Linked DNA regions of Alligator mississippiensis. The protein of the gene in region 1 interacts with the protein of each later gene in a pairwise test. Links are inferred from orthologs where the notes say so. Each region holds a gene or a part of one and is shown on either strand. Other genes may lie near its edges.

Evidence for each region. The genes of interacting proteins can lie anywhere in the genome.
Region 2: the proteins of NPM1 (region 1) and GNL3 interact in a two-hybrid assay, tested with the Homo sapiens proteins (2 studies listed by BioGRID, with this or other methods). The link is inferred for Alligator mississippiensis from reciprocal best matches to the Homo sapiens genes NPM1 and GNL3.

The regions. Positions count from the first base shown.
Region 1 is NC_081832.1:47,798,265-47,805,533, reverse strand, and holds the start of NPM1 (nucleophosmin), read left to right. Parts: upstream 1-4,267; 5' UTR 4,268-4,327; coding exon 4,328-4,391; intron 4,392-4,870; coding exon 4,871-4,950; intron 4,951-7,269. UniProt on the Homo sapiens protein: Involved in diverse cellular processes such as ribosome biogenesis, centrosome duplication, protein chaperoning, histone assembly, cell proliferation, and regulation of tumor suppressors p53/TP53 and ARF.
Region 2 is NC_081835.1:38,676,460-38,683,664, reverse strand, and holds the start of GNL3 (guanine nucleotide-binding protein-like 3), read left to right. Parts: upstream 1-4,186; 5' UTR 4,187-4,264; coding exon 4,265-4,277; intron 4,278-4,607; coding exon 4,608-4,666; intron 4,667-7,080; coding exon 7,081-7,205. Other genes in the region: PBRM1 (protein polybromo-1), read right to left, coding at 1-109, 3,578-3,652. UniProt on the Homo sapiens protein: May be required to maintain the proliferative capacity of stem cells. Stabilizes MDM2 by preventing its ubiquitination, and hence proteasomal degradation.

The DNA.
Region 1 (7,269 bases):
ACTGCCAAGGTAGCTACCCTGGTGGTACCTTTTGGTTTAGATTAGCCCTTAGATTAATATCTGGTTTAGATTTTGTGATGTAGCTATGTGAGCTTAAAAAACTTAGTTCTAAGAGTTGTGAACAACCTATATTCATTCATCTTGGCAGGGTGTTAATGTGGATGCCAATGATGAAATGTCATGCAAATGTGGCTGTTGTCAGTTATTTTACTGTTGATCAAAACTGGTAAGAAAGGAGTGGGGAGATTAAATTACACTTCTTGTACTTTTTCTTAAATCTCACTTGTGGAACCAAGAAGCCAGAGGGGAAGATGAGTACCTCCTATTCCCAGGATGCTACCTTTTTAGGGAAATATATTAATGAGATGCAACAGGCAAGGAATGTAAAAAGCAATAAAAAGGAAATTCTCAATTTGGAGAATGGGACTGAGTGCAAGTTTAGCAAATTTTGCAGATGAAACCAAGTTGGGTGGAGCTGCAGATGCACTGGATGGTAGAGCTAGGGTTCAGAATGATCAGGATAAATAGAAGTGGTCCATGATTAATTAAACAAAATTCAATTTAAAGTCTTGCATGTGTGGTGGAATAATTACATGAACAAATATGGACTTGGGGAATATATGGGAGAAGGACCTTGGGGGTGGGAGTTGCAATAAACCGTAAATTGTGAATGAATGTGATCTCTCTGCAAAAAAGCCAACAATATACTGGGTTGTATTGACAGGAGTGTTTCTTGCAAATTCAGGGAAGAGATTGTTCCACTACATTCAGCACTGGTGAGGCTTCATCTGGCATATTGTGTCCAGTTCTTGGTCCCACACTTCCAAGACAGAAGTGGACAGATTGGAAAGTCCAGCAGAGAGCAACAAAAATTATTAGAGGCCTGAAAAACATGACTTATGAGAAAAGGCTGAAAAAACTAGGATTGTTTAGACTAGATAAGAGCTGGGGGGGGATTTGTTTAGTAGTCAAGTATCCAGAAGGCTTTCTGAAAGTTCCAGTATACCTCACTCCAGCATTGCACTGTGCAGGTTGTGTTGGTAAAAAGGCACAAGTTTGTTTTGTCCAGGTGATCATCAGAAGTTAGGTAGGAGTACGATTTAATGACAGAAAAGCGAGAGTATAATGTTGGGTAGCATTATGCACGTTAGGCTAAGTGGGTTTATGTACATTAGGGTAAATCTTAACAGATGTAGTGTTCTTTCTGTGGAGTAGGCTAACTTTCAGTTCCTTAAGGCAGTGTTTCTCAACCTTTTGAGTAGCAACTACCCCTTAACTTCTGAAAGTTCTTAAATAAGTATTCCAACACTCAATTTTCCAGGGGATTTTATATTTACAGACTAATGTGTGCCATATGTTGGAAGAAGGGCTGTGATATGACAGATGTCTGATCTGGTGTGGGTAGGGTTGCCACCTTTTACACCAGGGTTGCACAACTTAAGTATGTACCTGGGCTAGAGGTGATGTTGGCCAAAGCTAGGAGGGCTGAGCCCAGTGCCACGCAAAGTGCGACACACCAAATTATTACTAGGGAATTTAAAGCGCCACACAATGTGCGGCACACCAAATTTTTTGCCATACTTCTGAGAGGAAAAGAGGGTGAGAGACTGACAAGGAGGCAGCTGCTGCCAGCCATGGAGCCCAGGCTGTTCCAAACAGGCAGCTGGGAGGCTGCAAGTCCTGTTGCAAGCACCCTGGGCTCTGTGGCTGGCAGCAGCTACCCTGAGCCTGGGCTGGCTGCAGCCAGGAGGCTGCAAAGAGCTGCTCTGGGCTTCACCATTGTGTGCCTTGGAGCAGAGCAGCCGGTGGGGGGGCCCTGAGGCAGCGCAGAGAAAAGCTCAGTGCCACCCCTGACCCCTGCCTGTAGCCAGCCTGGGCTCTGGGCAGCCGCAGTGGGCAGGCTGCAAACAGCTGCACCGGGCTCTGCAGCCCTGGCATCTGCTCCATTCCAGTGACTGTGTGTGTGCCTCAGAACAGAGACTTGGGGATAGGGTCTGAGGCAGTGCAACCCTCCCCTGCTGTCTGCTCTGAGGTGCAGAGCCCGGTGCAGCTGCTTGCTGCAGCTGCCGAGCCCAGGCTGGCTACAGGCTGAAGTCGATGGTGGCACTAGGCTTTCCCGGTGTTCAGTGATGACACTGGAGGGCAGTTTGGGGAGGGCTACAGTGAATTTTGGGAGGGGGGCTGCTGCCACCCCATCACCGCAGCCCGCCCTGAGTGCCGGGAAGAGCCCGGTGCCGCCACTAGCCCCAGCCTACAGTGGCAGCCTGCTCCCTCCTGCGCAGAGTGAACTGGGCCCCAGGCAGGCCAGGTCATGGGGCAGTTCCCACAGTGCAGGAGAGTGGGGAAGTGCCTTGCCCCTACTGTACTCCCCCCTGCATTGTGTGGGTTTGCCCCCCCCCCAAGCCCAGACAGGATAAAGAAACTTACCTGCCTGTGGCTGAGTCAGTGGGGAGTGCGTGGGTATGTGTGTGCCTGTGGCCGGCTTGGGGAGGTGGGGGCAGCAAGCAGCTGGACGCGAACCCAGTGGCAGCGGAGGGAGTGGTGGCGCCCCCTTACTACAGGGGTTTTGGTGCCTGTGTACCCCCTGCCTGTGCCTTGTGTATCCCCAGAGGTACATGTACCACAGGCTGAGAAACTATGCCTTTAAGGCAGGCAAAATCTCCAAGTAGTAGCAAATAAGAGTGGGCTGAGTTGACACTTGAGCAGAACTTGCATACAGAGCAGAGATGCTCGCATTGAGCTAAATGGGCCACTTCACAAAAAGGGATGTTCTGTACTGACTAAATCCATGCATATGAATACAGGTTGAAACAACAGTTGTGAAATGTGTGAAGTGCTCCATTCATCTCAGTGGGTGTTTTCACCCATCTCCCTCCAGTGAGTGCTTCAGAACCTAAGTTTAGCAAAAATGTTTGTCTTCCTCATGCTTTCAGCTTCCTCCTCAGAAGTGTTTTTCAGATGTCGGCTCACTGGGGAGGCATGGATGAGACCTGAACCACACCAGAGTAGCATGATTTATCCAAATGCTGGTTCATATAGAGCAAAGGGTGCAGACCCCTTCAAGTGCCAGCCTCCTCTCACTCTGCTGTGTGCTGAAATGAGTGGGGCTAACCACTCCCCATGGACAGCCCTGTAGATAATATGTAGGGGAGACTGGGAAAGTATTTTATCTTAGGGCCAGAAGTCCCATGTGGCTACCAGGTACTAGTGTTACAACACTCCCTACTCCAATGTCCCCTCAGGTACTACTCCCTCTGGCCTATGACTTCCAAAAGCTTGCTCCTTCCCTATCACTCATCCCCATGTATCCTTTTCGTAACCCCCCTCTGCCTTTTAACATCATCTCCTAAACTAGAGGTTGGCAACATTTTTGGGCAGAGTGCCAAAGACACCAGCAACCTGTAAGATGTTGGCAAGCAGGGATGGACAGCCGGGGAGCTGCAGCGGGCCCAATCTTTGTTGTGGCAGCTCAGCCCTGACATCTTCCCTGCTGTCTGCCCCAAACTGCATGTGCAGACTGGGCCAGGTCTCTCTGGATGCCAGTGCAGCTGTGTGCAGCCTCCCGGCTGCCTGCCAAGCTAGTCCCAGGCTCTGGGCAGGCCTCTGCCACGGGGCTGCTTGCAGCAGGCAGTGGACAAGCTGCAAGCAGATGTGCTGGGGTCTGCAGAGCCCCGGCCCAGCTTGTTGCTGGCAGCGGGTGCTCGAGGCCTTGAGGCAGAGGGTGGGCAAGGGGCCGGGGCCCTCGCAGCTCCCCTGCCTGTGCCCCAGGTGCGTGGGCCGAGCAGCGTGGCTGTGTGCGTCGTGCTGGGGCTTACCTACCCATGTCCTAACCCCCCTCTTCTCCCAGGGCACAAGCCAGGGTGCCAGACCGATTTTCTCTCGCAGCGGTGTGGGTGGGGCCGAGCGTGGCGCCGTGAGAATCGTCTCAGAATAATTAAAAAAAAAAAGGGCAGCTGGAAGGCAGCTGCGGCACGTGCGCCCTGCGCTGCCTTTCTACGGGGCTCCCTGTGTCTCGGGTTCCGGTGGCCGCGACGTAGACGCAGGCCGGGCTTAGTCCCGGGAGCCCCCGCCCCGGGAGAGGCCGCGCGGACGCCCCGGGGCCGCCCGAGCGCGGGGCTGATGCACGTAGCCACCGGCGGGGGCCTGGCGGCGGGAGGACAGGGGGCAGGAAGTGCCAGGCGCCTGCGCCGAGGGTCGCGCGGGGGCGGGGCCCGGCGCCGCTCTCGCGAGACCTCCGGGCTATAAGTGCGGGGCGGCGCGCAAGCTTCCCCCCTCAGTGCGATTCCGTCCGGGGCGCAGCGCCGCCGCCGTTGCCGCCGCCGAAAAGATGGAGGACAGCGCCATGGACGTGGAGAGCATGGGCCCGCTGCGCCCGCAGACCTTCCTCTTCGGTAACGCGCGGGCGGGCCGGGCCGATGGGCCCTGCGGCTGCTTCCCGCGCGGTCGGGCCCGGCGGCGGCTGCATCCGCGCGGCTGGGCCGGGGGCGGGGCGGGCGCGGCGGGCTCGTGCGGCAGGCGCCGCCCCCTCCCCCCCGCACGTGGCGGCCGCGAGCACGTGGCGGCGCCGGGGCCTGCAGCCCCTGCCGGGCCCGGCCGCGCTTTGTGCCGCGAGGGCGGCGGCTCCTGCCCGAGCGCACGTGGCGGCGGCAGGCGGGGCTGGCATCGCCGCAGGCTCCGGGGACGGGGGCCGTGGTGCTACCGCGGCTGCGGGCGGTTCTTTGGCGCGGGAAAGCCCCGCGAAGCGCGTGGCCTGCAGAGGCGGCGCCGCTGGGCTGGGCCGGGCCGGGCCGGGTCTCGAGCCCCGCGCGGGGAAGGGGTGAGCTCGTGGTCCCAGACGAGCTTGTGACGTCTTCTTCTCTCCTACCCCCAGGCTGCGAGCTGAAGGCGGACAAGGACTTCCACTTCAAAGTGAACGACGAAGAGAACGAACACCAGCTGTCGCTGAGGACGGTAGGGCTGGGCTGGGCGGGAGGGCCTGAGGGGAGGGTTTTTGCTGCAGGATCTGGGGACCACAGCCCAGTTCTTGAAGCCAGCAACAATTCTCCATAGCTTGTTGCTGGACTTTGCTGATGGGTGCCCAGATGTGAACAAGTTTGCACTGGCTGCTTCACAAGCTTGGGTTTGCCCCAGTTGGTTGCCCAGAATTAGGTCTTCATTGGGGCTTTTTGGGGTCAGTGGCCTCATTTCAGTGGATGGTTGTTGGAAATCGGGGAAATACTGAAATGGGAACACTGTTATAGCCACGATGGTGCAAGAGCTGTAGGAGTAAGGCTTTTCTGTGATGCTTTTTTCTGGACCCAAATATACATTTGGGAGAGCTGTTGTGTAAGCTTGGGCATCAGGTGCCCTTTAATGCCCACTCCTGCACCTGAAATTTTTTAGCATAGAAGATGAAGAAAGAGGGATAGGGCAGGTCACTTCCTGTCTACTTAGAAAACTGGAATTTGGATTGCAGTGAATAGATAAGTGTTGATGGGGACATGGCTAAAACGGTAAAAAAGCAAAGAAATAAGTACCTCAGGTGGCTGGGAAATGAATGGTGAGAGAGAGAGGCAAGTAGAAAACTTGTAGCAGTCATCCAGTGGCAAGGAGAGAGGTCCTAGAGAAAAAAGTTAATGCATTTAACAAGTGACCATCATTCGGGTCTGTCACTTTTTTCTATATTCAGAAAAATATCAGAAGGGAAGGTTGACATTAAAAAGGAAGAAAAGGGAGCAAGTTGCAAGCTAGTAAAAGTTCTATATTTGCTAGAGTAAAAGGTCAATTTGTGCCAGAGGATCTAGATTGGTGTAGGGGATGCAGGTGGTGGGGGAAAATGGTGTTTAAAAGTGGCTGGGTAATGTGCCAACAGATATTTTGCTGGCTTTGTAATAAAAGTTTCTGAGTCCAATGAATAAACAAAGTGGCAAAAAAGGCTTTTTAGGTCCTTCATGTTGTTCCTGGGTTTACATAGGTCAGTCAAATAGCTTATTCAAAATTTACAGTTATCAGTTCGTGGCTACCAGTTTGCTTTTCAGCTCTCAACAGGAAAATGGAGGTTCTCTGTATTGCATGTTATATGTAACTTGTGGGGGTGCACTGATATTGATTTTGGGGGCCAGTACCAGTAACTGATGGGCATTGGGGAGGGCTATGGTGAAATTTGGGGTGGCTGCAGCCTCCTCCCATGCACGGTGTAGCCCAGCCCCCCTGATGTACCTCTAGTGACTTGCATTACATATATAGTTGTTGTGTTTAATGCGCACATCTATCTACAATACCCCCACGTAAAATGTATACAGCTTGGTCATCCAGAAAACAAATAATAGCTTTAATTAGATCTTGTAACGGATACAAGTGAAGCCATGTGCCAAGTATCCCTGGATACAGATCTTGTCTGGTACTGGCTAGCTGTTCCACCAGCTGAAATACACAGATCTACTCTAGAGAGCAAATGAGGTGAAATGCATGTGTTTTCATTTGTCAACACATCCATGCAGGTACTGTTACATACAGGTAAAGGCAGGATAGTTTTCCTCTGGTATCTAGCTTCTGCTTGCTTTTTTGTAACTATCTGCATTATGTATATCCTTGTTCCTAAAATAGCATCCATCTCCCAACAAATTTACTTGATCTATGACAGGTTTGTCCAACATATGGCCTGTGGGCTGCCATGCAGCCCGCCAAGCCATTTTCTGAAGCCAGAGGTGCTTCGACAGGAAATGAAAGTAAACACTGTTTACTTTTGTTTCTACCCCTTGTCCCTCGCCCAGCCTCTCAGCAGCTTCCTAATGGCTACTGACGGGCTGGGGAAGGGACTGGGTTCCCACATGCCCCACTTCAGCTAGACGTTGCTGATGTGGTGTGGCTCTTCCCCATCCCCCTCATTTCACGGTGTCCCTTCCTAGCCCCTCCCCTCCCTTCCTCATTTGCATGCCAGCCCTGCCCTGTGCTGGTCCCCGCTGGCTGCGCGGGCTGGAGCAGGTTGCTGTGCAGGAGGCGGCTTCACGGGGCGCGGATGCCGGCTTGGAGGGATGCTGTGGCCGGGTCCGCAGGAGATGCTGCTGCCACTGCTGCTGTGGCTGTTCGGGCGGAAAGCTGGCACGGCTCCCACATCCCCCTGCGCCCGCAGGCATTGCGCTGGGGGTCGTGAGTTGCAGGCCCGGGGGAGGGAGGGAGCCCTGCTGGTTGGGCTTGGGCTGCCCCAGGGGAGAGGGAGCAGGGGGGTGTCCCTGCATGTCCCCGTAGAGTCCCCGCATGTTTTCCTGGCTGCTGAGCCCGGGCACGTGG
Region 2 (7,205 bases), on another chromosome or scaffold:
GGCCTGGTGTATTTGTTGAGTGGTGACCATCATCAAAATCTCCTCCACTGACACTGCTGGAAGGAGAAGTAGCCCTTCGCCTCTTGGAACCCATGGAATCCAACTTCTTCTATAATGAAGAAAGATGTTCTTAAACTTAAGGCATTGTACACAAGTTTTCTGGTGACAGCTAACTACTGACTATCAGTTAAGGGTATATAGAGTCAGGAACATTTGCAACAATTTACTTATGCATTGTTACCTAATGAGATTATTATTAAGTAAACTTTCAGAGTTGCATTAGTGGTTTAAGTCTATAAAATAGCACTGTTGCACACAGGTCAAGGAAAGTTATTATTTCCCTCTATTCAGCACTGGTGAGGCCACATCTGGAGTACCAAGTACAGTTTTGGGTACTCCACTACAGAAAGGATGTGGACAAATCGGAGAAAGATCAGCAGAGGGTAACAAAAATGGTGAGGGAGGCTGGGGGATCATGACTTATGAGGAAAGACTGAGGGAACAGGGCTTATTTAGTCTAGTGAAGAGAAGACTGAGAGAGGATTTAATAGCAGCCTTCAACTACCTGAAGAGGTATTTGAAAGAGGGTGGAGCTAGGCTGTTTTCACTGGTGGTCAATGATAGAACAAGGAGCAACGGTCTCAAGTTCCAGCAAGGGAAGTTTAGGTTAGATATTAGGAAAATTTCTCTCACTAGTGTTCTAGTAAAACACTGGAACAGGTTATCAGAGAGGTGGTAGAATCTCCAACCTTGGAAGTGTGTACCTCCCAGGTTACAGAAGTTTTATAAACCCGATTAGACAAAGCTTTGGCTAGGATGATCTAGTTGGGGATGGTCCTGCTTTGAACAGGGGGCTGGACTAGATGAAGTCCCTTCTAACCCTAATTTTCTATGATTCTATGAATCAAATACATTTTGAATTATATACTGCTACCCATCCCTGCAGGGCTGGGGACTTGCACAAAGTGCTGCAATTATCTAGCAGTTACTAGGATGTTTTTTTAAACTATAAAAGCTTATGACTCCTCATTCCAAAATAATGATAAGATGTATTGTCATGATACATGAGAAGTTCAGAGATAGTTTTACAACTCTGATAAGCTAAAAACCAAAACATACAGTTAATGCAACTAAGAGTAAAATCACAACTGCTATGTAATATCTAGTCCCAGAATCACAAAAACAAACAGACAAACAAAGGATTTGGGCCACAATACAGGTAAATTTGGTTGCATTCTCAAGCTACATCATTCTCACTTGAAAATTAGGACTGAGTGCAAATTGGATCACTCAAGGAGTCTTCTCTTTTTGTCCCTGGTCTGAATTTATTAACATCACTATTGACTGAAATTATTAGGCATCCAGCAACTACTGAGTTTACTATGAAACATATTGCTGGATCCTGCCAAAATGTTAATGGCAAGGTGTCACTATTACAAAAAAAATATTTCCAGTGTCACCCATGCTCTTTTCACTTTAACAATGTATTTTTCTGTTATATAATCTACAGTTTATATAAGGTGAAGTAGTGACATAGCTATGTTCATGTTTATTCCAGTGAACAATTCATTACAAGTAAACAAACAAGATGAATGAGCATGAGGTTGGATTCACTAAGGCTAAGATAAAGAAAAATAAAAGGCCAGGCAGGGGAAAGGAAGAAGGGTGTGTATATGATCAATAATTTACCAGATTTACCAGAGTACAACCAGCACCTCGAAAAGCCAGTCTCCTCATTGTGTCCAATGGTCAGGTTAAAGTACTAAGAGATGGCAAGTCTTTGAAAATGTCAAATCAGCAATTGCATTAATAGCCAAAGCTGAAAGAGAAGAAAAATGAGAGAAAAAACAGAAGAGGGGAAAGGTTAAAAGGAGAGAGTAGAGAGAAAAAGAATTTAAGAATAACAGTTGAGAAAAGCCATCACAAAGGCTGGAGAAAAGAGGAAACATAAATTTGGAGGGGGTTATCAAAAACTAAAGGTTTTCTGCATACGCAAAGCATATACATTTCTGGAACTTTTAACTAAAATGTTTAAATGCTACTATAATGTGAGCCATTCACTAGCCCGAGTAATGCAAGTATCACTTCATCTAGTAGCCTAAGTGTAAGAGGGAGTAAGTGGAAACTGTAAGTTGATGGTACTATAAAAAAGTAGTACAGTGACAGTAAAAAGAAGAAAAAAAAAGTCTTACAACCCTAAGTTACTAGGCAGACTTGTAGCAATGACCCACACCATCAAGACTCTCCGGAAATTGCTGATTCTACTTTATTAAGCCTTAATTTAACCCCCGTTCAAAAACCTTCAGCTATATCCCTATTGCATGACAGATTTTCAACATATCATACCATGAAATAATGAGCTTGATTAAACACAGATCTACTAAAATCAAAAGTGTATCAAGTCCAGCATGGAAAATATTAATCTATACAGTTTTGTCAGCAGTGAATACCTGTTCTAAAACTGTTCTTCTAAAAAAACTGTATTCAAAGAACCAAAAAGAATAAAATGATTTTTACTCATCTAGTATGTAGTACTTTATCATTTGGAATCAAAATATTTCATGTATCCTTGAATAATGCACCAAGTACTAGTGTATCTCCACTAGAAAATTGGTCCTTATATGAAGCAAAGGATCTTGAGGACTATAAAATAATCTGATGGGATTCAAGTACAGCATCTCCACACCACTTATACAATACTAGTAAATCCTAGCCATTATATTTTTTTAAACTTCTTTAAAAGGTTAGGCACCTGAAGACCCCACCTACAGGCAGTCACTGAAGAAAATTTCTCTTCCTAATACTAAAACATAATTTCTTCTAACAATATCTGAGGATGTAATATTCTGATGTACTCCATTAAGGTCCCACACATCTATTATCAAAAGTAATCCCCATGTAAGAATACTGTTTCTACACATCTTTAAAATATTTTTAAAAGGAGCTGAAAAGTGTTTTTTAAAAGTCTAAATTTTTACGTACCCTTCAGAGTAGCTAATCAAAGCATGTATATAGATGCCACAAAAACTATTTTTGAAAGTTCCCTGGATTTCTATAAAACCATTCAACAGATAGTTGACAAACACAACAAAATGATGGGGAGAGAATGTACCATATACTGTCCTGCAGCATTACTGACAAGACTAAAACTGTGTTGTAACCTGGGAAAGCATGTCAGAGGGTTGTTTCAGAGGATAAAGCAGGAAAGAAGTTAGCTAGGCCGCACAGTTGTCTCCTCAGCCTTGGAGAAAGAAGTGTACAAGACAGATAACAAGTACACAAAACAGAGGCTTGTCCCAGTTTAATTCTTCTCCTACCAAACGCTGCAGGACTCTGTTGCTCCCGTGGCAGGTTCCGGCAGCAGCGGCACTACTGTGACAAGACGGAACAAACTTTGAAGGGAAGCGCCGCTTCCCTGGGGCCACGCACGTCTTCGGGGCCTTGCACAGCCGTGGCAAGTGCGCTCTACCCTGCTGCCCGCCCCGACCCCGCGCATCGCCAGAGTGCACCGGACCCCTCACATCGCCGGAGACGTCAAGGCGTCGCGGCCGGTCCCTTCCCAGCCCCCGGCTGTCACCTGCGCTAGCGGCAGCAGAGCCCGCCTGCCCATCCCGGGGCCACCGACAGCAAACCGCGTGACAGCACCGGGCATCGAGGCTCCCGGCGGCGGCGGGGCTTCTCCCTGCGCTGACAGCCCCCGCCACCGCCCCGGCCGGAGCAGGAGCCTCGTGGAAGCACTGCGGCAACGCGTCTCCCGCGGGGGAATCGCCCCTCAAGACACGGGGCCAGCCCGGCGCGGCCGGCAGCGGGGGGCCCTCGGCAGTCCCGTGGCGCGGGGCGGGGGGTCGCCGCGCGAGGGCGGGCACCGCCGCCGCCACGAGCGGGCAGGGCGGCCACACAAAGGGAAGCAGAGGCCTCCCGGCTACCGGGCCCAGCCTCGCCCCGCCCCGCCCCGTCCCGCCCCGCCTCGGCGCACCACCTCACCGCTCACTCCCTCACCCACCCAGGCAGCTCCGCTCTGCCGCCCGCTACTGCGGCCGCACTCGCCCACCGCTGCCGCCCTGCCGGCACAGCCGCTGTCGCCCCTCACCACCGACCCTGCCGCTGCCGTAAAGCCCGCCCGGCCGCCGAGCGAGCCCGCCAGCGCGACAACCCGTGCAGCGCCTAGGGGCGGGACGCGGAAGGGGCGGGCGGTGCGCTTTACGGCAGAGCCGCCAGGTTCGGCTCCGCCGCCTGCACGCGGGGTGAGCGCGCGGCAGCAGCCATGAAGAGGCCTAGTGAGTGCGGGGCGCTGGCGCCGCCTGGCCGCGCGGCCCGGGAACGGGAGTGGGAGCGGGAGCGAGGCTGTGGCAGGGGCCAGCGACTGGGGGCCGTGGCCGTGGGAGGTTCGGGCGGGGCCGGGACTGGGGCGCGCGGTAGTGGGGGCCGGGCCAGGCCGGGCGGTCGCGATCAATCGGAGGCTGTAGCAACGTGGGGCCGGGACTCCGTGCCCAAGACCTGTGGCCGAGGCCCGGCCACACTCGGGCGCCCGTGGCCCGCGACATCATCGGGTGCTGATAGGCGGCGGCCTTCGTCTGCCCTCTGTTAATGGCGTGTCCTGATTGCAGAGCTTCGGAAGGGCAGCAAGCGCCTGACCTGCCACAAGCGGTACAAGATCCAGAGGAAGGTGGGTCACCAAGCGGGAGCGGTCGGATTCAAGGGACCAGTTTCTGCCCCAAGCACAGCATAGGCAGGCGGGAGGGGGAAGGCAAGCAGGAAAGCTCAGGCCAGGTCTTCGCTGCCCGGCTTCCCGAGGGCTTTGGGCTGCAAAGCACTACGTGGAGCCTCATTGTGTTCAGCTACATCGAAGTCCTGAACAGACTTGTTGCATTTGCAGGGGAGGGCTGTACACTGTTCAGCACTCACCTACACGTTCCCCAGCTGGGGCCCCGTAGTGCAGCTCCTAGTTCTTTCACACCGCACATGTTCATGGTTCCACTGTTTGTCTAGGGCAGTGGGGCTCAGTAGGGCTGTCCAAAATTTCAACTGGTGTTTTATTTTGAAGCTGTTTCGGCGCCTTTTAGCTTGGGACAGTGAAATCGAAATGAAACAACAGGCTTTGAAATGAAATGAGGGCACCCAAAATGTTTCAAGTTTCAAAGCAGCCCAGTGGCGGGAGGTGGGGGAGAGCTAGGGCTGTACTCCGAGCAGCTCCGCAAGCCCCACGAAGCTCAGCCCAGCAGCAGGAGAGCCAGTGGTGGAGCTGCTCTGAGCGCAGCCTTTGTTCTGAGCGCAGCCCTGGCCAGTGGCTCTCCCCTCCTTCCCGCTGCTAGGCTCAACTCTGTGGGGCTGCAGAGCCTCTTGCTGCCAGGCTACGCTCAGAGCGTCTCTGCCACTGGATCTCCCTGCCTCCTGCTGCCAGGCTGCACTTTGAGTGGCTCCACCAGCTCCATGGAGCTCAACCTGCTCTCTCAGCGCTGCCAGACTCCTTCCAGGGGTCTGGACCCCCAGATCTGAGGTATTTCTAATGTGCTGCGTTATCAAGAGCTCTAACATAGGGCTGTCTTCTAAGTAGCAGAGGGTTTCAGACCTTGCACCAGCACAAGCAATAGGCTGCATGCTGTGGGGGGGGAAATGCTGGCATGGCATTTTTTTTGGCTGATAAAGTCACTGATAAATTCTGTGTTTATGGCATGCATGGGGCTAGGAATACAGCCCAGCAGCTTAGAGAGCAGCCTCCTGCTGGTAAGCCTGGGTGGGGAAGGAAATTGAGGCTCCCAGGGTGAGGGAGGGATGGGGCAGGTGCTGCCCCATCCAGGGTGGTGAATGCAACCCTGGGGCATGTGGTGGAGCCACGCACTGCCATTCCAGAGGGCGGGGGGGATGGCTTCCTGCCGCTGTGCTCACCCTTGGGAAAGGCATGGGGGCATGTGCTGCCCCAGATTTGTATGCAGGGCGAGGGCAGGCTGCCCACTGCAGGCTTGGAGCCAGAGCTGCACTGGGGTGGGGTGGGGTGGGGTGGGCTCAGCTGTGGGGGTACAGGTAGCAGCACTGAGAGTGGACTTTGGGGACTATGGCCATCCCCAAATTCCCCATAGCCACCCTTCCCAGCACTGCTGCTGCCTGCCCCGCACAGCTGAGCCCACCCCACCCCCACCTACCCCAAGTGGAGCCCTGGCCCAGCCTCCACCTTGGGGAAGAGGCTGGTGCAGATGCTGAACCCTAGTGCACAGCGGGCAGCCCATCTTCACCCCCTGCACAAATCTCGGGGGGCACATGCCCCTCATGCCTCCCCCTAGGGGTGCGCACAGTGGCAGGGGGGAGTCCCTGCTCTGCACCCCCTAGATGAGCTACCCACGGCTCTGCCTCGCCCTGGGGTTGCATCCGCCACCCTGGGTGGGCAGCACCTGACCCATCCCTCCCTCACCCTGGGGGCCTTGATTTCTCCCCCCCCCCCCCCCCCCAACCTACCAACAGGATGCTGCTCTCCAAGCTTCAGGGCTGCATTCCTGGCCCAGTACTTGACATGCACGCAGCATTTATTGGTGGTATTATGGGCCAAAAAAAAGCTGAAGGCTGATAATGTTATTTTTTCTGTTATCAGTGCTGATCCAATATGCGACTGATATATCAGTGCACCTCTAGTCTTTACCTCCTTGCAGAGGGGCTGGGACATGGGGGTGGGATAATTACTTAGATCGGCATTAGCCTGAGCCTGAGTTAATCTACCTAGTTTATCTTATCATGAGGGAATGCTCAGAGGATCTGGCAGTACTCCAGGGTGTCCCATCGCCCTGGCTGAGAATCATTGCAGTAGAGGTTATTTTAAGTGGATATGGGAGTCTGAACGGTGCTTGAAAATTGCCTTCAAGTATATTGTAAAGAACAGATCTTCATTGGGAGGGGCAGTGGCACAGATGATGTAATACTGTAGATCTTTTGAATTTTAAGTTTGTAATACTTAGGATTCATTAATTTAGCTATAGCTACATGCGTGTTGATTTTGCAATTAAAAATCTTTCTCTGGCCACATACTTATATGTAGGCATTTAGCTTTTCCTATTAAACTGAATTCCAATATATATTCTTTCTTGATTACAGGTACGGGAACACAAGAGAAAACTCAGGAAAGAAGCCAAGAAGCGTGGAAACAAAAAGCCCCGAAAAGATCCAGGGGTTCCCAGTGCTGCACCATTCAAGGAGGAAGTTCTTCGTGAAGCTGAACA